Lepisosteus oculatus: one gene and its partner. The protein of the gene in region 2 purifies or fractionates together with the protein of the main gene of each other region. This does not show direct contact. Links are inferred from orthologs where the notes say so. Each region holds a gene or a part of one and is shown on either strand. Other genes may lie near its edges.

The links.
Region 1: the proteins of map3k2 (region 2) and traf7 purify together in Homo sapiens (affinity purification with mass spectrometry; 3 studies listed by BioGRID and IntAct, with this or other methods). This does not show direct contact. The link is inferred for Lepisosteus oculatus from reciprocal best matches to the Homo sapiens genes MAP3K2 and TRAF7.

Annotation. Positions count from the first base shown.
Region 1 is NC_090714.1:12,210,580-12,223,356, reverse strand, and holds the start of traf7 (E3 ubiquitin-protein ligase TRAF7), read right to left. Parts: upstream 6,115-12,777; 5' UTR 6,033-6,114; intron 6,020-6,032; exon of another isoform or gene 5,621-6,019; intron 3,902-5,620; exon of another isoform or gene 3,713-3,901; intron 1,194-3,712; 5' UTR 1,157-1,193; coding exon 1,064-1,156; intron 655-1,063; coding exon 594-654; intron 24-593; coding exon 1-23. UniProt on the Homo sapiens protein: E3 ubiquitin and SUMO-protein ligase that plays a role in different biological processes such as innate immunity, inflammation or apoptosis. Potentiates MAP3K3-mediated activation of JUN/AP1 and DDIT3 transcriptional regulators.
Region 2 is NC_090707.1:32,274,663-32,287,419, reverse strand, and holds the start of map3k2 (mitogen-activated protein kinase kinase kinase 2), read left to right. Parts: upstream 1-6,658; 5' UTR 6,659-7,078; intron 7,079-9,627; 5' UTR 9,628-9,669; intron 9,670-11,727; 5' UTR 11,728-11,745; coding exon 11,746-11,800; intron 11,801-12,757. Other genes in the region: ercc3 (general transcription and DNA repair factor IIH helicase/translocase subunit XPB), read right to left, coding at 4,246-4,273. UniProt on the Homo sapiens protein: Component of a protein kinase signal transduction cascade. Regulates the JNK and ERK5 pathways by phosphorylating and activating MAP2K5 and MAP2K7. Plays a role in caveolae kiss-and-run dynamics.

The DNA of each region.
Region 1 (12,777 bases), on a different chromosome or scaffold from region 2:
CTTGTAATTGGTGGATCCTTCAGCTGGGAAAGCACACACAAACAGATGGCAGAATCAAGAGAGGTGCAGCCACCCGGCGGTCCAGAAGAGGCACAGAAAGCCTTTCCAGCGATCTGAGGTCGTATAAAACAAAAAGCAAATGATCGAGCGCAGGGCCCTCAACCTGTAGGCCTCTGGGCTCCTGGACTGTGAGGCTCTGCTACTGATGATCAGCTCCAGAAAGACACACTGATCGACAGTCCATTCAGGACAATGTCAAGCGACTGTGAGGGCACCCGGATAAAAAGGCAGGATATATCCACGACCTGGCCCGTAGGGACTACAGAACAGACCGTAACCAGCACAAAAAAAAAAAAGACTCAGATCAAACATAATCCTCTTCAAACGTCATATTTTTACAAAAATATTCTGAATAATGTTGCCAGTGCACCCATCAGAAGAGCTCCTTGCGCCAGCCCAGTGGAAACACTATCAAGCGACAGGTCTGGAGTCTGCTGGTGGGTTAGAATTGAGGGAATTCAGGCCCTGTCTCGAAATTAAAGACTGCAGCAATAAATGCAGCATGAGGCAAGCGCACAGAGAATCAGACTAACCTTTCGTAATAGTGGTGACTGTTGCATATGCAGGTCCAAAGGTGGTCTCCATCCTAGTCTGCTATAAAGAGAAAAAAAAAAAAGGTTTGATGCTGCTGTTGCGTCAGGCAGTGAGGAAGATGAATCCCTTAGAGACCACATGGCACCACAGTGCACATGTCCCTCCTGCTTGCAAACAGGAAGATCTGCAGATGTGCCCGGAAATCTTCAAATATTTAACTGCCCAAGACTTAAATGTCTCCCAATCTACTTTCAAAGAATTACTGCTGTAACAATATGTAATATGTGTCCAAAAAACAGTGAAATACATCAGCTTCAAAGGTGGTATTCATTTATTGCTGAATTATCCTAAAATCGACTATCCTAAAATAGGTTAGACAAAAAAACGCCAGAGGATACCTTTGTTTTAAGTCTGCTCTTAAATTCGGCCACTGTCCCCCTCCCCAGCCCTGGCAGAAGGCCCTCCTTACCGTGTTTGCAGTGTCGGCAGGTGGGACACTGGCCACGACTGCTGCAGCACCTCCAGAAAAACGGTTGTAGCGCAGAGTCTTACTGGAGCTCATAGTCCAGCACAGCCTCCCTGGACCTGACAGTTGCACCCTGAGAGGCAAAAAAAACCACACTGTCAGCCCATCAGCGATCTTGTCTCCCCTTTCGTTTGTCACTGTAGCCCGAGATTGGCTACCGCACTCAGGACGCCGGCTGCCCATTGGCTACCGCACTCAGGACGCCGGCTGCCCATTGGCTACCGCACTCAGGGCGCCGGCTGCCCATTGGCTACCGCACTCAGGGCGCCGGCTGCCCATTGGCTACCGCACTCAGGACGCCGGCTGCCCATTGGCTACCGCACTCAGGGCGCCGGCTGCCCATTGGCTACCGCACTCAGGGCGCCGGCTGCCCATTGGCTACCGCACTCAGGGCGCCGGCTGCCCATTGGCTACCGCACTCAGGACGCCGGCTGCCCATTGGCTACCGCACTCTGGCACTCCATAACTCCAGAGACCACTGTAACCCCAGGCTGACAGCTAAATGGAAACTCTGCTCTGTGGCCAAGATTTTTGTTTTCTTTCCAGCAAGAGTGCCAAAACATCTGTTATGATAGTTAATTACTTCTTTTTACTAAAACAGGAACTTCACATATCTTTGGGGGCCATGTTTTTGTTTGCAAACTGAGCTTATGTTGCAGCCTACCCGAAAGACCATTCCTTGAGTATGGAAAACTTCAGAACCCATCCTTTTTGTTCTGCGTTCCTCACCCCCCCCACAGTCTCAACCGTGACAGTAAACCGAAAAAAATGAGCACGCGTCTAACCACCAGCGCTGCAACAGTCTGAGCAGGAACAAAAGGGCAAAGACACAGACAAACGGAGAAGTTGGGCAGGGCTCAGAGACTACAGAAAAAGGACACCTGTACGGCACACTGGGCACAACAGAACCCACCCAGAACTAAAGCACCAGTTACTGTTGACCTAAGCAGTGGGAGGCCTGATTAGGGGGGCAGGGCTGGAACTACAGGATTTTTTTTTCCCATTTCTGAAACCAGAAGGACACAAAAGAAATGGCCCTGTGAAACTTCGCTGAACAGTCAGTGGTGAGTGGAGAGTCAGCTGGCTTTGCAGTAGCAAAATCCAACCTACAATTAATGCTCTCCAGCCATGGTGGAGATTATACACTACAGATCCCCAAATAACAGGTTGCAAACCACCGTCTGTTTCACAGTAATTCACTCAAGGAGTCCCTTGCCATTTTCCTTCTGTTACTAATTTCTATTCCTGGTTGGAAAAACAGCTATCCGGTTGCTGACAATGGCCTGATCCCACACTGTACCTGCGATACTGTGCATCACACAAGAGGGCTGCCCGTGCTGATATGAGACAGAAAGCACTGTATCTGCAACTTAATTATCACAAGTACACAGGTAGCCCCCATCTCCCTAGAAGGTGGACAACCTCTAAAAGAATCTCTCCTTTTACTTTACTCAATTTTTCCTCAAAATCACGTCTTCCAACAACTAGAGCTGGAGGCTGTGTGGGCTAGTAGCTATGAAGAAAGCTATCCCTCATTATTGACCTCAAACTGACATGGTCTTCACCTCAGACTCAAGGGACTATGAAATGTCCTACTTTCCACATGCTGTGTACAAATGTAAGATGAAGAATTAACAGTAAAATGTGGCACTGGAATTTGAGGTTTCAGTATCCTGCGCTGCAGAAACATTACCATCAAGTTCCTGGGAAAATGCCTCGCAGGTAAACACTTCCGAAAATTAGACGCCATACTTTTGAACAGCGAAGAAGGAAAATAGTCATCAATGATGGTCACAACATATGTTCCAAACAACTAAGACCATGTTCCAAAGTAGGAAAAGAAATTCTAAACCATCCTGCTCTATAAAGCCTTAAACGACTTCTGACAGTTACTAACTAGTTTAAAAGACTAATATACTGAACTCAAGTTGCCTTGGATAAACATCGGCGGCTACATACATCAAAATATTATTTACGGCAATAATTATTGGCGACAAGGATGCGATCATAGCACAATGTTAAGTCAATCCAGTGTTTATGATGAATCTTGCAGAAATCGATTAGGAGAGATGACATAATCCATTTGTAATCCCGCGGTAAAGGGTTATCGACTACAAATTGAAATCTGGAGATACAATCGGGTCTGTTTAAGAATATTACTTCTAGAGGGAGCAAAACAAAAGCACTTCAAGATAACCCTGTCAGCGCTAGCTACCACCAATAACAAGGAGAGCTCGGAGCTCAAGAAAAACTGCGCACTACTGAATTCCGTAACTGCGTTAAAAACAAAACCGGGCTGAATGAAATCGATGGCTCGATTAAAAAGAGAGAAGTGAGAGAAGGTCCGGGACCACCTCCCCCTGCAAAAAAAAAAGGCAACTCAAAGTCAGCCAACCTGATTTTGGAAAATGTGACTCATACCAAACGAAACCTTAGAGGGAAAAATAATTGAAAACGTTTTAGTTGATTAAATGCGCTAAACAAAAATTCCAGAAAGTTACTGTTTGCGAGCGATGAAATGCCCGAATAAAACCCCGATCACACAGCTAAATGCACAACGTCAGAAGACAACGCTGCGGTCCGGCTGTTTACCTGTTGGGAGACAGTTACCTTTAATTCACTCACAAAGACTGTAAACCTACAGCCTTGCGTTGAAGTCTAGTGCACATTTCTGTACCATAACGGTAATGAATGAAACAAAAGTTGTTCAATTAATCCGATTACAGTCCTCAAAGCACGCTGAGACCCGTCTGCCAGTGCTGCTCTGCACGGTGATGTAAACAGAAAGGCACGCGACGGGACTGCCTGTATGCTAATGAGGCGGCGCCTCGGCCAATCGGAACACAGGCTGCCCACTCTCCGCTTACTACTGTACTATTCCAAAGTGACGTCAGTGTCCCTTACCAGCACTTTTTTTTTTAGATTTCACAACAGTAATGAATAGAGCCGCCTACGCCGTATCATAGTCCATATCCGAATGCTAAAAAAAAATCCGGAGCTGTATAATTTCCGAGACGAGTTCACAAACACGTTTAAGTGACCGTAGCCGTCTTACTGATTGACATCAATCTGTTTTTCCTTCCAAAAATCGACACGAGGCTACAAATTAAACGGCCTCTACTTGCGCCACACAAAAGCATTGTGTTCTTTACTTGTTCCGAGTGCAACAGCAGCAACTCACTTTGATATGAACACAATTGCATGTGTTGGTACACCGCCTGCTAAGTAAATAATTACATTCATAACCATAGCTGAGAGCTCATTAATGCGAATGGTTTCAAAGGTCAACAATTATTACATTACATCTGCATCCGTTCTCTATAACGATTTCGCACTTTCTCTGTATAACGAGTACAGTCGCTGCAAATTTAACATTTTTCATTCAGCGTGTCACTGTATATCTGATACAGCGTGCTCCTCGCCCGTACCACTTCGGGTCAGATTCAGACGTCTGTGGCTTTTTCCAGACTCGCACTCCAGGAACTGCAGAGACTTCGACGTTTCACGATTTCAAGAACAGGTGGGTACAAGGACAACAACAGAAACGATAGTACCACCACGTGCCCCCAATGCGATACTTAATTCATTCGCGTAGCCAGCAAAGTGAAGACTTCATCTCTTCAATCAAACTCGACGTACTAGTTTTAAGGGAGAATGCGTTACTAACGTGACACTGAGAGCTGGAGCAATGAATCGGATATGACGCCTGTGTCATTTGAACAGCCTGTACACAACAATCTGAAACACGGGTGCATACATGTTGGGCTTCATCACTCCGTTCTCCTCCCCACTGAGAGCTGGTCTGTGGGGAGCGTATTGGTGCACTATGGCTGCCGTCGCATCATCCAGCTGGGGCTGCACACTGGAGGGGAGTCCCCATGATCTGTCAAGCGCTTTGAGGGGAGTGTCTAGAAAGGCGCTATATAAATGGAAGGGTTTATCCCTTAAGATACTTCTATTAACGGGTCTATGAACACGAACAGAGAGTTTATAGTATGGATCTGCTGCCACCGACAGTCTGAAATGTGAGCTTCGTTTCACTGTTGAAATCGACCGAGCCCCACTCTTCCAGTGCAAGCGGAAGGAGACCCCACAAATATCACGGGGATCTCAGCTCCCCACATGCCCCCCCCCTTCGGGGAACGTCGCCGTCTCAAACCTTTCATCACTAAACCGAAAGATACAGAGCACAAAGAAACGAGAGGACACCTCAGAAAGCATCACAGACCCCGAGCCCGTCCAGTCTCGCACGAACACAGCTGATCGCACCTCAGACGGGAATGCGCGTCGACACTTTGTGACACCAGACGGCTCGCTGGCTCTCAGCGAGATCTTCCCAGACACAGCGCCCGATGCGTGGTGCATCTCCTTCCCTCGGTGACGACGTGTACTGGCGCTTTTCGCTTATGAATTCACTGAATCAGCCAGCGCGACGGATCGCACACTAAACAAATGAAGCCCCTGCTGAGCCGGCGGCAGGCTCGGTGGAAACTCTCCTACCTTGCCAGGAACACTTCATCAAATGTTTTTTTACGGACGCTCTCCACATCAGCCCATTGGTTCGCAAGATAATCGTTGTGTCGCCAAGACACGTATGGCGTTAGCCAGCTGTGTTACGATTGCTTTTAAAGAAACGGAAACAGATGTCTAGGAGAGTCAAAAATTCATAGCAGTCTTGCAGTTGTATCCAGATTTTAATTAGACATTTGTTCTCGTCTCTCGGCACATGGATCGCTGTCGTACTCTCAATAAGCTGTGACTCGTTAGGGCTATTTCTGGTCTAGAATTAGGAGAGAGAGATTCCGTGTTACGATGGTGTCAGCCGCAAACACCCGAACCTAAGGGCTAGCAAAACAGTTTTGGTCGAACTACGCGATGGAAAACCTGTGTATAACGAACTCAAACCTCTTACCAATGATGCAAAAGCACTCAGCCTGCTCTTATAGTCCACATCTTCTTCCCTGACAGCAGCCAGATTTTTGAGGAAGTGAACTGTTTACCGGGCATTGTGGGGCTTGTAGTTCATTTATTCAGCTGGGGCCTTCGATTCCAAATCAATCCCCGATCAAGTGAGCACTACAGACCCCACAATTCTTTTCGACACCGCCCTCCCATCCACGCTCCGCCCACAGCTGAATGCTCATTGGCTATAGCTCCATCAGTCTATTGTACTACTTTTATCTACCGTTGGACGTCCTTCAAGTCAGTTTCCCTCTCACGCTAAAACTCACATTTGATTCGTGACCAAATACATTTTAAATAGCCAATAGGAAGCTTCCCCTTCTTCCAGCGGAAAAGGAGTGTTGCTTTAGAATTCAGAGGCGATTGGTTCCTTCGCATAAGAAACGGCTATTTTTGCATTGACTATCCAATAAGAAGTGTGAATTCAGGCCGGAGCCAGACCTTCACCCCATAAATTCATTTCGCGGTGCTATTGAGCCTCTCTTTTCGCTCGGTGGAGGTGAGTGGTGGTTTGTTTTAGTTGTTGCTAGTGTTAGTAAAAGCTCAGCATTTCCGTGCATTAGTTTTATTAAATCTGGCTTGTCTCGGGGAAGTCCAGCTGTCCATTACGAGTGCTTGCCGAAGTACTGAATGTATTGGGCGCTGCTGTTTTTCAGCGTAGGCGTGCTGGATTGACCTAGGCTAGGCCATGTGGGCCCAGCTTGGCTTTGTGTAGCTCCACGTACAAAGGTCTGCCCAGTTTGCAGACTTAAATGGACGCATCTGCGCACCCCAAGATGCGGCTACGGGCCTACATCGGGCCCGCTTGGAGTTGGGTTTCATGCGGGATTTTTACAAGACTAGCGTCCTTCTCTTATGAGAATAGTCTGAGTCTCCTTCAGTGTTAATGATGAATCTATTCTTATTTCTGACACTTCCGATGAACAGTCCTTGATTTCACTAAATGTTCTGAAACACTGTGGACTCGACTGATCGTCTGCACGTAGGATGCACGTGTAATATACTCGCTTGTGAAGTGAGAAGCGTGTCCTTTATCGGTAGAAGCTTCTCAGCGACTGAAAAGCTTCACCCCTGTTCGCCTAGGCTGTGCCTCTGTATTTGTTTCATGTGAAAGCGATTGCATGGGAGGTTGCGCTGAGATTGTTTAAGAAACCGGCTGTATATTTTACTTTTTGTTTTAGTGACACGTGGTGACGTGCTGCCGATCGCCGTGGAGAAATTCAAGATGGCGACGTCGCAACAGCATGTCCCGAGAGGTTGTGGGGACGGATCCGAGTGGAGTGGAGTGGCGGGGGTGTATCCGCAGGCAATCGAGTGACTTGAAATGGTGAGTCACCTGCGCGAAAATGGGCTGGTTTTTGATTGCAATTGCAGAATTCAAATTGGCCCCTAATCGAAATCTAGGTGGAACTGTCGGTTCAAGGGCTCCCCGTCTCTGCACAGTGTTCATGATGAATGATTTTTCCATTTCTGACACTTCCAATGAGCAGGCCACCCTGTGGCCTCTGATTTCAATCCATGTTCTGAAGCACTGTGGTCACTGCAGGTCAGGTTTGTGAAATGTTTCCATGATGCCCTACTCGGGACATGATGGCTAACCAGGACCTCTGTGATGACCTGAGCAGGAAAGATCTTTCAGAGTTGGGGGAGGAAGGATGGTTAACGTTCCGTTTCTTGGCTCAACAGATCACCCCAGACGACGCGTGCGTGCCTTGAGACGGGCTTGGGTGAAGAGCAGACGTCGAGAGATTTGAAAATGGTGAGTTTATCCTTCCGTCCGACTTTTAAATAATCTCCCCTCGATCTGACTGAACGGCTGCTCGCCCTTTCCGGTCTCTGCACAGTGTTCGTGATGAATTATTTCTTATTTCTGACACTTCCAATGAACATACTGCCCAGCAGTCCTTGATTTCACCTCATGTTCTGAAGCACTGTGACAAACGGGAAGCTTTTCGAAGGCAGCTGGTTTTTATCCGTTGATCCTGGAGCTTGTGTAGCATAAGTATTGAGGTTGGGTTGCGCAGTGATTCTAAAAGGATGGCTGGTCTTTGTTTCAGGCATTTCAACCCTCCCCATGAAACGTGGTGTTGGGGGGGAGGTCTCGTGGTAGCTTGGCAGGCCTGGTGACTGGAGAGAGAGAGGTAAGGAAGTCAGTGTTCAATCATTGGGGGTGGGGGACCCCACCTCACCTCACACCTTCTAGTTCTCATTCAAACCAAAATTAATCCTCAAGTGAACTAACCAGTAGCTTGTTTAGATCCTTTCCAAGTCTTTCTACGTGAAGGTTGGAGATAACCTCCTAGGAGGTTATTTCTTCAGTTGCTCTTTGACTGATTATGATCAGTTCTCCGTTCCTATTAAAACCCATTAAGTCCGTGTTCGTTAAGAGCTCAGGTGTTGGGTCCAGGATTGGGATTTTAACTGGATATCCTGAATCTAAATTCAGGTGTCGATCCTTGCACCTGACCTAAAAGCTCAGTATCGTCTCCTCTTTCAAGAAATAGTAATTGATCCAAGAATCTCATTCAGGTAACGACCAAGAGATGGCCTCGTTATTTTCTTGCCTAGAGTTGTCCTGAAAATGGAGTTCTTGAACGTGTATGCTGACTCAGTTTTATAGTAGCACTGACTTCTTCTGTGGTCTGAACAATCATTGCACAGTTTTACAATTTCCTGCACTTCAGCAGCTGTCCCAACAAACTGGTTGGTTCTTCCAGATCTAGAATTTAGTACGTGAACTTCAGTTGGCTGTGTGACTGCATGGGTGGTTGAAAGAGGCATTAATGGATGGTTTGGTGTCTTGCAGGTGACGGGGGATGTGGACCTCTCCAGCTGTAGGGGCAGAGCTGGCCTGGCCCCCACTAGTCAAGATGGGGCCCAACACACTCTCTCTCGGGACCATTCCACTGCAATAAAATGTATTTTGATGACTCGGGAGCTTGCTTGTTCTGTTTGTGGCCTCAGTTGTGATTGAGGGAGGAGAACCTTCATGTTGTAAATCCTAACTCAAAGTCCCCTGTTCCTAGACTCTACCTTCAAATTGTGATGTGTGAGAATTGAACAAATTTTAAAAAGGCAGAGCTGTAAAGCAAAATTAGAGAAGCTACACCTATGTAATGCATTACAAGCACATCCTAATTAATGTGCCTTCCTGTGTAAAGGCACTGGCTGAATGTTTTTAATAAAGCCTTTAAGATCTCGAGTCCTACCTCTCCTTTCTGCTGCATGTTTGTGTACCAGCTGCCTCTGCAGGCTCAACCTGCACTTGTTGATCCAGAGGTCCACTCCTGCTTGCAGGTCTCTCTCTGCCACAGTGGAAGAGCTCTTGAGCTATGCTGCTTCTCTTCAAAGTGTTGCCTTGTCATCTTTTTGAAGAACTCGCGTGCAGAAAAGGAAAAGGTGTATGCTATTCAGTATTGACCTCAATCAGGTGGCTGTGTGCTATTCATGGAGTCTTCCCTCATTGTTACAGGATGCTGTGGTTTCTGCCTAAAGTTAAGGTTGATGAGCTATTCAAAATTTATTCTTCCATCCTGCAGCTGTGCATTGGAAACCTGTGTAGGCTACGGTCCCATGACTTTCATCAGAATAAATTGTAAAACTAGGTCAAATATTCTGCTTCCAAGAAATCTAACAGATCCAAGTCATTTAAATATGCATTAGTCTATCCATTAAAGCTGAAGTTTTAAGGGGTGACCTGTGCTGAAATTCTTGCTAGGCTAAAGAACACTTGTAATTTCACTAAAACGCCACAAGAGGGAGTGCTTTACTTTGCTATGGGCCACTGTAGCTCTACAGCTTGCAGAGGAGAAATAGGGGTGTTGGTACAGTGCCTACAAAACCCACTCGTCCGAGGCAGTGTAGGCCTTTCCACCTTGCTGTACCCAACATGTTGAAATTTGTGCTACAGAGGCCAAATGAAAAGGGTTTTATTTTTACGTTAAACCTAAGAACCTGAAGCTCCTGTTTCAGGTCTAAACACTCAGCTGTTTTTTTTTTTTTCTTCGCTGTGCAATTAAAACAATATGGTGCAATGCCATGTTTTCTTTCCCCAGTGGAGGGGAAAGCGTATAAAAGCTGTGCGTCACCCATTTAAACTCATGCCTGCTGTATTGTTAGCGCTGAAGCCCTTCTCAGGAATCTAGAGCTCTCTGTGAATAGATGGAGACGGCACTGGTTACAGTCATTCCCAGTAGAGCATGTGGGGACCCTGCAGCTGGGCTGGGCTGTAGCCTGCTGGAGGGTAGGCCATCATGGAGATTTGATTTGAAAACTGGGCCCAGGGCTGGGACAGGAAAGAGAGACAAATGGACTCTGGTGCAAAATGTTTCAAAAGGGGAAAGCTGACACTCTGAAAGGGGAACAGATGTTAAAAAAGGGGCAGCCGGGAAGAATAAAGCACACACTCTCCCCTCTAAAGACGTAAGTGTGTAACCTCCCATGTGAGGGTCTAACATAAGCTTTTCAGCTATTCTGGGCTTTCTCCCACCGGCAGAAAACCAGATCACATAGCACTCTGAAACCTTGCCCAAGCAAGGCTGGGGGGTATTAAGCCCCAGGAGGAACTGGGCCCTGATGAAAGCTTGGGAGAATCCATGGGAGTAACCCACCTAGGAGAGCACCAGGCGACTTCATTTTCTCCTGCTTTTTATAGAAACTCTCCGGTACAAATACAATTGCAATGGATTGGTCTTCGATGTAACATCACTGTACCCACAATCCTACTGTGGCAGTTCTGAAAATGTACTGTATCAAGCTTGTTTTTAATCCATTTAAATGAGGGCTGATCTGAGACAGCACAAGGCCCGTAAGAAAGATTTCCCCGAGAGGGGGGACACTGTTGGTAAGTGGACAGGGTGTGCCCAGGCGTGACGAGGAGTGTCTGAGCGGCGGCTTCCATTAACTGCTCTACCAGCGCGGGGTGGACCGCTTCAGGGCAGCGCAAGAGTTCTCCGATGCGCGCAGAAAATGGGCCGGTTGTGTGGAACCCATTAGGAGTAGCTGGGAGCCTCCATCTGGGCCATTGTCTGATTTCTCCAAAGCAAGCGAAGCCCGCTGTCCATTCACGGGCAGGGGGAGCCTTTTGTCTGCGGCCTCTGGCCCGAGGGCGGGAACGCATCTCGACAAACGCATAACGGCCGCTTCTTTATCGGCAGCCAGGCCCTCCATGCGACTCGGGGCTTCATACGGTCTGCGTGAAGCTCTCCTGCCAGCCGGTAGGGCTGAGCTCAATTGTGAGGCGGGGAAGGGGGGCCTGTCCAGACCATTAAGCTGCTGTGGCCACAAGGCCTCCTGTGTAGCTCCTGTAGAGGAGAAAAGAATAAGGAGGAGGAATCGTGTTCAATAACCAGCCCAAAAATGGAATTTTTCTTAAACACCGGGTCTCCAAAAGTCATCCGTGGTGCCCTTCCTTTTTTAAAAAAAAAATATTCTTTTAAATTTCTACAAGAGACCTTGTCGGGGATTAATGATCTGCGCTGGGGGAGATGAATGGACAAGCGAAGGCGGGGGAGGGAGAAGAGAAATGTTTGGGCTTTTTGTTCTGCGCTGGGCACTGTAAGGCCCGTGCGGGCCTGTGATCTGCTCGCGCCAAAACTAGAGGCGCAGACGGGCCCCGCCCTGCGCAGCCCGCGCCGCCCCATGAGAGGCGTGTGAGGAAATGGAACGGAGCAGCTGCTGAGGAAGCCCTCTGGGACTGAGTGATCCTCACAAAATCCTGTGAACGTATTTGTGGGAAAAAAAAAACCAACAACAAATTCCAGTGCACGTGAATCACAGTTTGAAATGGACTTGTCCTTACTCTAAGACTGAACTCTTCCTACATAGCGTATATACGCACCCTCAGTCTCTAACCGAGCATGTGTAATCGTTTATGACATGGATTCTAAACCACTCTGAGATTAGAGGGAGGCCTGCCATCTCCTATCATGCAGCGTGTGTACTGAAGATAATTGTTCTCCGGGCCCGTCTACAGCACAATGTAGCCCGACCACTCAAACGCACTCCCATTGTGTAGAGTGCTCTCCGGCGCAGGGCACTGCCGAGCGCTCAGCCACTTGTATGTCACTACCTATTGGTAAAGAAGTGTGTATTCATTTTCAAACGCTGTGTGATTTAATATTCACACGACAGGATGTCAAAGCAAATAAGAAAGGGGTAAATAAGTCAGAATGATGTTGATGAAGCGCTTCGTGGATTGCGAAGGCGCTCAGATTTCGGCCAATGTCCATTTGTCCACACATTCACTCACATATGCGCCTGGAGGGCAATATGGAGATTAAGGGTGATTTTGGACGGTGGCGAAAACACAAACTCAGGACCCAAGAAAAGTCCAGATGAGTTTCCCACCAACCCGGGAGAAAAATGATCATTGTCATAGTGTTCACCCTCAGACTAATCATTACTGTACCAATACAGAAAGCAAGTAGCTGTAAGAGCACTCCTTAAGCCTCTCCCCCACTGTCTCCCGGGGGACTGCTGAGGACAGCCATGGACACCAGTGCTGTATTCTTAGTGGTAGCATGATCTCAGAAGCTAAGCAAAGATGAGCCTGGTCCACACTGAGGTATGAGACCTTTAACGAAAAATGGGTTGCTGCTGTAAGTGATATTGGTGGCCCAGTAGGTGGTGCTCTTCTCTTTGGATTAGAGTATCTGAAAAACACACACACCAGTATGACAACCGGGGAGACTGTC
Region 2 (12,757 bases):
TACAATTGTACAGACACCTACAGCAGCAAACACATAATTAAGTTTGCAGATGACACCACTGTTATTGGGGGCTGATCAACAACAACGACGAGTGCGCATACAGGAGTGAGGTGGGGCATCTTACAAGATGGTGCCTGGACAACAATCTGGCCCTGACTGTCAACAAGACAAAAGAACTCATTGTGGACTTCAGGAGACCCAGAGGGAGTCGTGCCCCAGTTGGCATCAATGGCTCACCAGTGGAAACTGTCAACTGCTTCAGGTTCCTCGGCCTGCAGATCTTCACCGACTTGGCTTGGTCTTGCAACACTGTAGCCAGTCTGGAAAAGGCACAACAGCACTTCTTGCAGGGCCTAAAGAAATACCGTATGGGGATGCAGTTCCTCATGAACTTTTACCGCACCATAGAAAGTGTCCCCACTAGTGGCATCACTGTGTGCTACAGCAATACTACAGCGCATGACAGAGATAATAATAATAATTGTTTACACTTATACAGCGCTTTTCTGGACACTCCACTCAAAGCGCTTTACAGGTAATGGGGACTCCCCTCCACCATCACCAATGTGCAGCCCCCACCTGGATGATGCGACGGCAGCCATAGTACGCCAGAACGCTCAGCACACATCAGCTATCAGTGGGGAGGAGAGCGGAGTAATGTAGCAAATCATAGATGGGGAGTATTAGGAGGCCATGAATTGATAAGGGCCAATGGGAAATTTGGCCAGAATGCCAGGGTTACACCCCTACTCTTTGCGAGAAACGCACTGGGATTTTTAATGACCACAGAGAGTCAGGACCTCAGTTTTACATCTCATCCGAAGGACGGCACCTGTTTACAGTATAGTGTCCCCATCACTATACTGGGGCATTAGGACCCACATGGGCCGCAGGGTGAGTGCCCCCTGCTGGCCCCACTAACACCTCTTCCAGCAGCAACCTTAGTTTTTCCCAGGAGGTCTCCCATCCAGGTACTGACCAGGCTCACACCCACTGAACTTCAGTGGGCTGCCAGTTGTGAGTTGCAGGGTGATATGGCTGCTGGAGATGTGATACAAAGTGTTTCGGCAACGGCACCAAGGATTATCGGATCTGATTTACCATCAATCATTGAGATTCACACCATCCGCTGTCAGAATAAAGCCCAAAACACCCTTCAGGATCCCAGCCATACCGGCCACAAATTGTTCACAAAGTAGTACCGCAATATTAAAGCGCAGACCACTAGACTTAAGAACAGTTTCCATCTTACTGCAATGCCCATCCTCCACAGCTTACTGCACTGCCTCAGACTCATAGTGCATATCTGCGCACTGCACTATTTGCATGGTCCACCATGTTTATTTTTCCCGCACTACGCCAGATTTATTGTCCCCCAACACATTTACTCTTCCTGTTGTTATTACTTACGTGTGAAATGTATTGTCTACATTCTAAGGCGTTGTCTATTGTACTGTGCACGTCCTGAGAACTCAGCACGAATAAGAATTTCAATGTACATATGTCAATAAACTCCTCTACATCAGCTTGTCTGAAAATTCAGGTTGTCCAGTAAGCGGTACTTACTGGACATTTGTTCTTAGCAAAACGGGGCCTGCAACACAACCTGGCCCTACACAACAAATGTTTGGCCTATTAATACGAGGCCTGAACTGCAAACAGCTACTGTTCACAACCCTGTTAATCCTACAATACTTCACTTCAGCATTTCATGACACTGGGACTCTCCTGGAAGTCTTGAAGCTTTCTAGCTACTGTTATTATTTTACTAACCGGACACCAGATGATAATCTTCATCAGTGCTGACAGTAATTCATCAGAAACATATCAATATAGGTAACAACTTGTTCAAAAATATGACATCCATATGAGGTTGAAACCATCTCGTAACTTGATCTCAACAGATCTCAGAAGCAATGCAAGTCTAGACATGGTCATTAAGATCGTTAAGGAAAACTTGGTTGCTGCTTGAAGTGGTGCTGTGGCCCAGCATGTAGCACTATTTGCTCTGGACCAGAACTTTCAACTATAGTATTTGACAACGGACACTGTCCTGTAGATAGCTGCAGTCATTTGGGTAAGACCTAAAATTATGGTCTTGACTAACATCTGACTGTTAAAATTCCCATGGCAAAAGTAGGGGTATTAATCCTGGTGCCGTGGCTAATTCCTGAATTAATCTGATGTGTAGGGAGAATGCTGTCTGACACTTATCAACCAGGTGGGTGCAGCATTACAGTACTTATAATAACAAACTTTATTTATAGAGCACCTTTCATACAAATAGCAGCTCAAAGTGCTTTACAAACCCAGCGCAAAAATAAAATCTTCAAATTCAGAGACATACTTTCAGTTGTAAAGGAAAACACAGTCATACAGTAAAGCAACATATTTGTCAATTTTATGCTTGAAAATATATAAAACAGAAATTAGGAAAGTTGTCATAAACAAAGAACAATAAAAGAGAAATAAAAAAAGAGAAAGAGAAAGAACAAAGAACCATTTGAACTAAAAGCTAAATTAAAAAGATAATAACAAACCACAAGTTCCCTTAGTGCTGTAACATGTAAATGGGCACATTAAAGTAGTTTAAGTAGGAATATGTTTTAGGATTATTGCTCTTGCAGATTTGTATCAACAGTTTAGATTCGGGTATAGTTAAGTTCATCCTTCGGATGAGACGTAAAACTGAGGACCTGACTCACTGTGGTCATTAAAAATCCCAGGGCGTTTCTCGAAAAGAGTAGGGGTGTAACCTCGGCGTCCTGGCCAAATTTCCCCTTGGCCCTTACCAATCATGGCCTCCTAATAATCTCCATCTATGAATTGGCTTCATCACTCTGTTCTCCTCCCCACTAATAGCTGATGTGTAGTGAATGTTCTGGCGCACTATGGCTGCCGTCGCATCATCCAGGTGGATACTGCACATTGGTGGTGGTGGAGGGGAGTCCCCATTACCTGTAAAGCGCTTTGAGTGGAGTGTCCAGATTAAAGCGCTATATAACTTTAAGCAATTATTAATTACAGTGAACTGTATCAGGACAAAATGTGGAGAAGGGTTCTGGGTACAAGGACTTCTCGGGTAGAATTAAAAAAAACTGAAAAATTGGAATTAAAAAAATTCAAAAATTCAAAATTGAGGCACGTAACATAATGGAATGGGTTAAATGAAAGCCCTCCTAAAGAAGGTTTTGAGTCTAGGTTTGAAAGATTTCAAGGAAAGTGACCCTCTGATATCCTTAGGGTAGAGTTCCAGAGCTCTGGGGCATAACAGGAGAAGGTCGTGTCACCCACAGAGTGTAGACGGGCTTGGGGGACAGATAGGAGACCAGAATTAGACAAAAGAAGGTTTGCAAGGTGGGGGTAGGAACACAGTAAGTCAGACAGGTATTGAGGTGCCAAGCCATGCATTCTGAATTTGAAATGAAACCTGACTGGATGCCAGTGCGGGTACTCCAGGACAGGAGTAATGTGATCACTTGCACACGACCTGGTCAGGATTCTGGCTGCCGAGCCCTGTCTCACCTGCACTGTCATTGCGGTCAGGGGTTAGGTCATGCTCGTCCACGGGTTTCTTAAAAACAGAGCAAAAACCTTCGGCAGCATTGATATCGGCAAACGTCTGTCCGCCGGGCACATCTCAAACCTAGACAGCCATCCCGAAGAGAAACTGCATTCAGCCGGCATCTTCAGCTTTTCAGGAAAGTCTCTCGCCTTCTCCCGCAGCACAGCCCCTGAGGTAGCAGGGCAAACTATTCGTGAAGCACCTAATCCACGTCCTCCAACTTAACCCGATGGAAGGTAAGCCTCCTCTCATCTGTCACGGGAGATCTCAGGCTTCACGAAAGACTCCCTTCGTTTTGATCAAAATCAGACGTACTCGGATCCGACCGCAAACTCGCCATAAAGCTCCTTCACCAAAACCTTCGTCTGGGGGTCGGATATGAGAAAAGATAGATGTCGATCAACTTGGCTCACTCGTAAAACAGTACGGATTGCACCGGGGAAACGTTCACTTAAGGGAGAATGAAGACCAACGACTGTCCTGGTCCTACTGTAGGTAGGCAAAACATCGCGTGCGTGCATGAAGCAAACTAGTTTATTTTTTATGCCTTGTTAACAGTATTTTTCCCCCGATTGCTACAGGTCATTGCTATGCGTCATTACCAGATCCGAGGGAGTTTATTGTACTACCAATAACAATGGTAACCAGAAGAGATAGCACCTTGAATGACAACAACTCACCTCGACCTCCCTTGTCCTTCTTCACCATAATGTTAGACTTACACAACTACAATGAATTAATTACGACGACTCGGCTTTCTTCATTTAAATTCTTGAAGACTTTTGCTGCCGATTTCTTACAGACGCCACACAACACATCCGACAACGGAGGCTGCCATATTTGTTAAATGAATTGCGCATGCTCGGTTAGTTCAAGTCCCAAGCAAATCCGGGAAATGACTGTAGGTCACATATGGGTTTGAAAACTGATTTGAAACTGTTTTTTAAAAAAGGAAACCTTCTAGTGGTTCTTGTCAACATTGTGGTATTTGAGGTGCTGGAATTAGTGTTTATACTATTATTAAGTTTTATTGCATCATCCCAAGTATTAAGTTTTTTTGCTACTGTCAATTAATAACTGGGGCATGCATACAGTAATATACATATTATTGTTAAAGCGACAGCACATTTTAAGGCATTACTGTTACTAAGGAATACCTAATTGCTGTTCTTATTCCGATACATTAACGTCAGCCATACGCCAAAATGGCGTGTTTTCAGCCATCGGTATTAAAGTAGACAGCCGATGATCGTCTCAATTCTGCATGGGCAGATATTATAGATTTTTGATGATGCAAGGTTTTCTGGTAAAATTACAAACTTGTTCTTTCATTTCGGAAATCAGCGGACCTAGACACTAACCAGAAATGTAGGAACTGCAGTTTTTTCCCCCCGCTGCGACAGTAAGTTTTTTTCGTCAAACTTACTTATTGAACATGAAATAATACAAAGGAGAAATGTGCATCCGAAAAAAGATGTGAACAAAAAACAACAACAACAACAACAACAACAACAACAACAACAACAACAACTTATACACTGCCCAAAGTAATTACAATCAGAAGTTAAAACACATCCGTTTTGCTTTTTGCCTAGTTATTTTCAGGTTTTTAATGGCGTCTAAGTAATACTGCATTTCTATGTTCATAAGCATTAAAGGGCAGAGTAGCATTAGACCATGTTAGTATATATTCTCTGCTACAGTACAAGGCAATGCTTTAAAGGAGGACATTTCTGGGGTCTTTCCTTCATTCTAGGACGTGATGTTCTTTTTCTACTGTTGCATTCAGAACTAAAATGGTAAAAACCGGACATTAATTTCAAATCATTCCGAATAATATCGTTTTAAAACAGGCAGAAATTTGACCTGGCAAAAAGGAAGATGTGCAGTTATTACAACTATTGAGCAGCAGATGCGTCACCTGCCTTGTAGCCTGATCTCAGAGCCGAGGTCTGTTGGGTAAGACCATCTTGCCCCTACAGTGATGTTGGTGGACCAGTAGGTGGTGCTCTTCCCTCTGGACCAGAATTTCCAAACCAATGCCCCCAGAATAGTGACTTGGGACACTGTGTACCACTGAATGAAGCATTAAACTAAGGTCCGGGCCTCTTGGTACTTATCCAAAGGGTAGGCGTCAGGGTTTAAAACCTGCTCTGGGTGTGTATGATCCAGCGAATTGGGTTTTTCATTCCTCCACTGAGACTTGAGTTAGGTACCCAGGTCTGCAATTATATATGTATACATAGCGAGAATTTGATTAGGATGCTGGGATTACACCCCTACTTTTTTTTTCTGAGAAGAGCTCTGACACTTTTAATGACTTTTTAATGACAGTTTTATGTCTAAATTGACGGATGGCACCTTTTGACAGTATAGCTTCCCAGTCACTACACAAGGGCATCAGGACCACACAGACCACAAGGTAAGTGCTCCCTTGGTCCCACTAACACCTCTTCCAGCAGCAACCTTAGTTTTTCCCAGGAAGTCTCCCATCCAGGTACTGGCCAGGCTCACACCTGCTGAGCTTCAGTGGATTGCCAGTGATGATTTATAACCTTGCAATTTCATTCCATCAATACCTCGACATGACATCTCTCTATACATACAGGTAATAATTACTATTATTTTAAGTAGTGCGAAGTATTTTAAGTATAATATGGTTCACAGATTATTTTTTCCTATTGATGTGATCTCTTATGGAAAAAAATTCTGCACCATTGAAACTACAATGTTAATACATCTTAAAATCGCGGTGGGTAAATTATTTTGTGAGTACCACTGGTTTTGTAGAATGTGATGAATTCGTAACTTTCCTAAGAGTGTAGAATAATTGAGGCTTATTAGCTGTAGATTTAGTTTGCGTTTCATATTCTGAGATCGTATATTGAATTAACATCCTATAGTGTAAAATAATACACACGGTACCAAAATCTAGTCTTATAATTAAACAATATACAGTAAATTACGCGAAAAGAACGTACAACTGTAAATACAACTAATACATTTTCCTAATACAGGTGCCATTTTGACAAAACGTATTTTCCTGAACCCCACATAATTTCAATGACGAAATCCAACTCGGAACACAAACTACCTCTGACATCACAAGATTTGTGCTGCAAATTCTTCAAACTCTTGTGTTGCTGTTACCTGGCGGCGAATTTGCTCAAGAACGTGCTATGTTGTGAGCATTTAAGAAATCAATTAAAAGAAAAGTTAAGGTGACCGTTAATGGAATAAAAAGCTCGTAATGTCGTTGCAGCGCTAACAATTTAGAAGGCTATCTTCCTCGGTGGGAAAAAAAAACGGTTTCATCACGGTTCTTACAGTAACAAGTAAATAGGAGGAAGCGCGGCCTGTTCCAAAAAGGAGGGGAGGCGCTTCAGCCTCGGACTCGAGTGGAGGTTAACACGGGACTCCTGAGCCCTCGGCGTCTGCGGACTCGCCTATCAGCGGGGCCCAGGCTGACCCAGCCGGTCCTGTGAATGAGGAAGTGGTACCACAGATCCCCAGGTAATAAAAAGGACTACATTGACTACCTTTTACTCCCTGTTTTAGATTTAATTCACTTCAATGTGAAATATGCGAGAGCCAATTTCGATATAAATGCTGGAACGTGGAGGAGAACTAAATAGAAGAAATTCGTGGTCTGTGAGCTTCACTGTAATTTAGTTACATTGCCAGAATGTCAAAACAGGGATTGCTGATTTTGTAAGTCAACTTGTGAACCAGTCCATTTGCTAAACGATACGATGATTGCTGGATCTATGTGAATCGTTTCGGAGAAATAAAGACTGCAATCGTAGTGAATCGTTAAGAGCAGTTACGGTTTAATTTGGAACAGTGTGATTGCAACTTAAGTGTTGTTGGCACATTACAATGGTTGCCGAAATGTTATTTCGCACCATCAGCTGTCGTTTTGACGTATCGCCTTACTGTAAAGTTGTCCGTAATTTTACCATTTACTCGACGTATTGCTGTCCCGTATTTTCAATATGTGCGAAACCTAACGTTTGGGAAATTAACATTGCGAAGTCACGTAGTGGCTCTGTGAAAATGCCTTTTTTTTTAATTCTAATGTTAATTGCATGAATTGGATGAAACGCAGCCCTTTGCAAAAAGCGTAAAACGCGCACTTCGCAGTTAAATCACAGTGTTTATTTAGTTGGCATGGCAAGGTCTAGGATAACAATTTGAAAGCTTAAAGTGAGAGGAAAATATTTTTTTAGTCGCACTCTTTTAAACTGTATCTACACACACATCTCAAAGAGCGAGAGTTTTCATGCTACGAGGAGGCTGTGAGCGAAGAGGAGTCAATTTGGCCCATCTAGGCCTAATTTTGTTTTTTAGTAGCTAATTAAGCCTAGGATTTTATCTAGCCCTTTCTTGACAGAAGGCAGGGTGTCAGCTTTGAGAACATGGCTGGACGGCCCGTTTCAGCCCCCCGCATCCCTTTGTGTAAAACACCACTGTGTGCCGGCTTTATCGATGCCTTTGACCATTTTGAATATCTGGATCAACCCAAATCCGAGTTGTTTAAGTTTGAACAGATTCAGTTCTTTAATCCTGTTGCTGTGTAAAACATTCTTCTGGGCCTAAGAAAATATCTGGCTGCACTTTGCTGGACTGATTCTAGAGCAGCAGTTTTGTTTTGTAGATGGATGACTACAATTGTACCCTATTGGCAGTGAGGTCTTGCTACCACATTGTACAATTTTAACGTTACAGCCCTTCGTTTATTTATATATGTAGGATTTGCTGTCTACATGTAACACTCTGCACATCTGCAATTGCACATTTTTCTGTCTAAGTCATTTTAAATGCATTTTAAATCTTAAACAGTGTTTGCTAATCCTGCATGTTCAGATGTTCAGTACCACCCGAGAACTGGACAGGTTTACAAATTACAGCAGAACCTAAATTGTTGATTTAAGTTAGCAACATCCTCTTAGTACTCCGCTAATATCACCCCAGTCTGAGCTTTTCCTCATTATTATCTTTACTGTTTCCCATCCTAAGAAACAGTTCTCAGTCAAAATGCATGCCTTTCCTTGAATGCTTACTGCAAGTTGAGAATGAGCCAATGTCAAAGTTGAGCACATGTCTTCTGAATATCTAAATATTCATATGTGGCCAGCAGCCATATCACCCTGCACCTCACAACTGGCAACCCACTGAAGCTCAGCAGGTGTGAGCCTGGTCAGTACCTGGATGGGAGACCTCCTGGGAAAAACTAAGGTTGCTGCTGGAAGAGGTGCTAGTGGGGCCAGCAGGGGACGCTCACCCTGCGGTCCGTGTGGGTCCTAATGCCCCAGTATAGTGACGGGGACACTATACTGTAAACAAGCACCGTCCTTCAGATGAGGTCCTGACTCTCTGTGGTCATTAAAAATCCCAGGGCGTTTCTCAAAAAGAGTAGGGGTGTAACCCCGGTGTCCTGGCCAAATTTCCCATTGGCCCTTACCAATCATGGCCTCCTAATAATCCCCATCTATGAATTGGCTTCATTACTCTGCTCTCCATCCCACTGATAGCTGGTGTGTGGTGAGCGTTCTGGCGCACTATGGTGGATGCTGCACATTGGTGGTGGTGGAGGGGAGTCCCCATTACTTGTAAAAGCGCTTTGAGTGGAGTGTTTTAGTCAATAGATTTTCACTTTTTAATGCACAAGTGAGAAAAAGCAGAGCTTCATGCACTCATGGATTAGAATATACTGTTTACCCTGTGACTATTTTGTAGCTGTTCTGAATGATTGGTTGCAAGACTATATGTTTGCTGTTTGAGACTTTACAAAACAAAGTGTGTGCTATATAAGTAAATCTCTTGCTATGTTCTGAATCGTTTCGAAGAAGCATTATGTAGCAAACACGTGCACATTGGACTGTTCGATTCTTTGTGGATTTAGATTATTGAAGCCAATTTAGAAGAGCAGAAAAAAAGATGAAGTTAATACAAAATTGTCACTGCTAAAAAAAGGAAACAGCTATGCGTTTGGCTTGTCAAAAATCTGAGCAAGTGTCATGAAGTATGCATACATCGGTCATCTTTTCTTTTCCCTTTAGACATTCCTGCATAATGTTGTGCCAAATAGTTTGTCTCTCCAGGTAAGATGCATCCATTTCCAACCGTTTTAAGGCCCAAACATTAAAACTAAAACATTCATTTGGATAAGAAAACATTTATTTCTTCACATGAGGAGGTGCTGCTGGCTTTTCTGGGTTAAAACGCAAGACACAAGTTAGCCCTGTCCTAATTTATCTGTCTCTCCAAATGACCTAACTTTGGATAACTTGTATGTTTCAGTAAAAACACAGTAGCCTATTGTCATGAATCGTCATTGCCTTTCAAAATAAGGTGGCTTCAGATCATTTAAAACCCTGTATATTTTAGTTCACAAGCAGTCAATAGGGATAGTCTATGCTTGAGGAAGAGCAATCTGAAGGGTAGGTGTAGATCTTCAGGATACTCGAACTCTTTCAATGAATTTACTATTTTAAATAGCTGAGAAGGTATTAAAGGTATTTGAGAATAACATTTTTAAGGTGCGGATTCATTGAGAATTTAAACTGTTTTATACTTGAATAACATAGACCTGGACTTTGACCCACATGGTTCCAAATGTAGACATGCAAAAGGCTTGCCATATGTTAAGCAAGTGAGTCGAACAAAAATGGAAGTAAAATGCATCTAAACCTGCCCTTGATTGTGTATTCCAGGCATAAGCTATTTTCTGATCAAATCCATCAGAACTCATTCTTTCTTTCATACCCGTTGTCTGCTGAGCACATACAACAACAGCAAAATGTCATTTAAATGTACAGTACTGTTTTTACATATGATACTGGAATAGTATACCCTATTAAGGGTAAAAGGTTAATTATTGGGTTAAAAGCTACCTAGGGAACGAAGTTTAACTAATAGGGTGGATTGAAAACTAGTTAACAAATAACAAACCACAAGTTCCCTTAGTGCTGTAACATGTAAATGGGCAGATGAAAGTAGTTTAAGTAGGAATATGTTCTAGGATTATTGCTCTTCCAGATTTGTATAAACAGTTTAGATTCTGGTATAGTTAAGTTCCCATCGGATGAGACATAAAACCGCTTCTCGAAAAGAGTAGGGGTGTAACCCCGGCGTCCTGGCCAAGTTTCCCCTTGGTCCTTACCAATCATGGCCTCCTAATAATACCCATCTATGAACTGGCTTCATTACTCTGCTCTCCTCCCCACTGATAGCTGGTTATTATTATTAATTAACAACATAATTACATTTGCAGAAGATAAATATTTTAAGTGGAGGGACAGCAGAAAGAGAATTCCAAAAAGACTTGGGTTTGCACTTGGCAAATGACATTTAACATTGGCAGGTACAAAGGACGTACATCACAATGGTGATTCTGAGCTGCTGAAAGTGATTGAGAGTGATTTTCATTCTTTTTTTATTAAATGTTTAGCAGTGTTTTGAAATAGCCTCCTATCAGAATGAATAGGTGTTTATCACAACATCAAAACGAAGTACCAGTTTTGCTGCTGCGCTGTGCAACACTGATTGGACACGGACCTGTGCAGAAAATCCACAACTTCATCAGAACTTACAAAGTGTTGCAAGCAGGAGGTTCAGTGCATTTAGATCAAGTGGGCATAGTGGTAAGCACTGCTGTCTCACCTGTCCTGGAGCCTATCTGCATGGAGTTTCCTTCAGGTGATCTTGTTTCCTCCCACAATCCAAGACCGTGCTGCTCGGTTAAATTGGCTTCTGGGAAAGTGGGCCCTGGTGTGTTTATGTCTGTGTTTGACTTGCAGCTGACTGTGCCATGACCTTGAAGGGGATGAAGTGGTTAGAAATTGGTTGAGTGGATGTTGTTAATAGCTTACATGATTCAAGGACCTGATCAAGATTTAAATAAGGTATTGTGTTAGCCTCCACAAAATAGCTGGGTCGCATGTTCTAGATTCTTACAAACACTTAAAAATATTGCCTCCTTACTTGTTAATGTCAGCCTACTTCCATTTGGGCCTCTTGGTTGAGGTAACATTCCTTAAAGCACGTAAATTAAAGAAATGCACTTTCAAATAGAAACTGTTTCGCTTGAGATGTTTGTACTTAATTTCTTAAAATTGGTTGAGTTTTTTTTAACTGACCTTCACTGCTCTGTTCTTCAGGAAGAAAAGAGACTGCTGATGGGAGAATCTTCTTTTCTTGAACCCTGGGTCCCTCAGCGTTCTGTCGTGATGGGTAAGAGGAAGACAGATTCTTGTAAACATTTGTTTCACATGAAATGACCTAATTACTTGCACTTTCTTGGCACAGAATAATCGGGAGGAAAAAAGTTACTGTTACGCTAAAAAAAAAAGTCACCTGGGAGACTAAATACTTGAAAGCAGTTGTTCATGTACAGGGTGACAAATCACAGAGCCTTTTTCAACAAGGACAAAAGCTCAGTTGTCTGTACTTGCAAGATAAGTAAATAGAATTGTTTCACTTAGTGGCACGTAAGGTTATCAGCATGAATAGTTGTGACAAGGGATGGTAGAAATCCATTTTCTGCTGTTCACCTGTTTGAACACTTTTTTGGGGTTTGATCTCTCCAAAGCCAGAATTTGAAGGAGAAGAACTGACTGGTAGACAAAAGTGCCCTGATGTTTTTCTGCCTGCATTCCTTTCCTCACTCATTGAGAACGCATCAACACATTATATTGTAAGGAAAACCAGGTTGCTGCTGCAAATTGTGTTAATGGAGGAGAAAGTGTCCCTCTTTCCTCTGGACCAGAATTTCCAAAGTCAGTGCTCCGATATGACCACCGAGGTCACTGTACTGTCCTCTGTACAGTGCTGTCCTTTGGATGAGATATAAAATGAAGTCTAGACTGTTTGTCCATCAAAGATGAAAGATTTTATGTTGTTATTTGAAAGAGTAGGAGTGTGGATAGTGTAGGGGCGTCCTGGTTAAATCTCTCTCTACGTGCAAAAGCTGGTTCTCCCTTCATTAATATGTTGAAAAACTAGCTCACATGTTTGTCCAATGTGCTGTGTAGTGCTATGTGTTCATATATGTTGGTTGCTTGCCGTGGTTCATCCAGGTGGATGCTGTTCTTCCACCGTATATAAAGCACTTTGGGAGGCTTTTGGGATGAAAGGTGCACTTGGAATAAAAAGAAATGTCATTAATAATTAGACATTTCAAGATGTTCA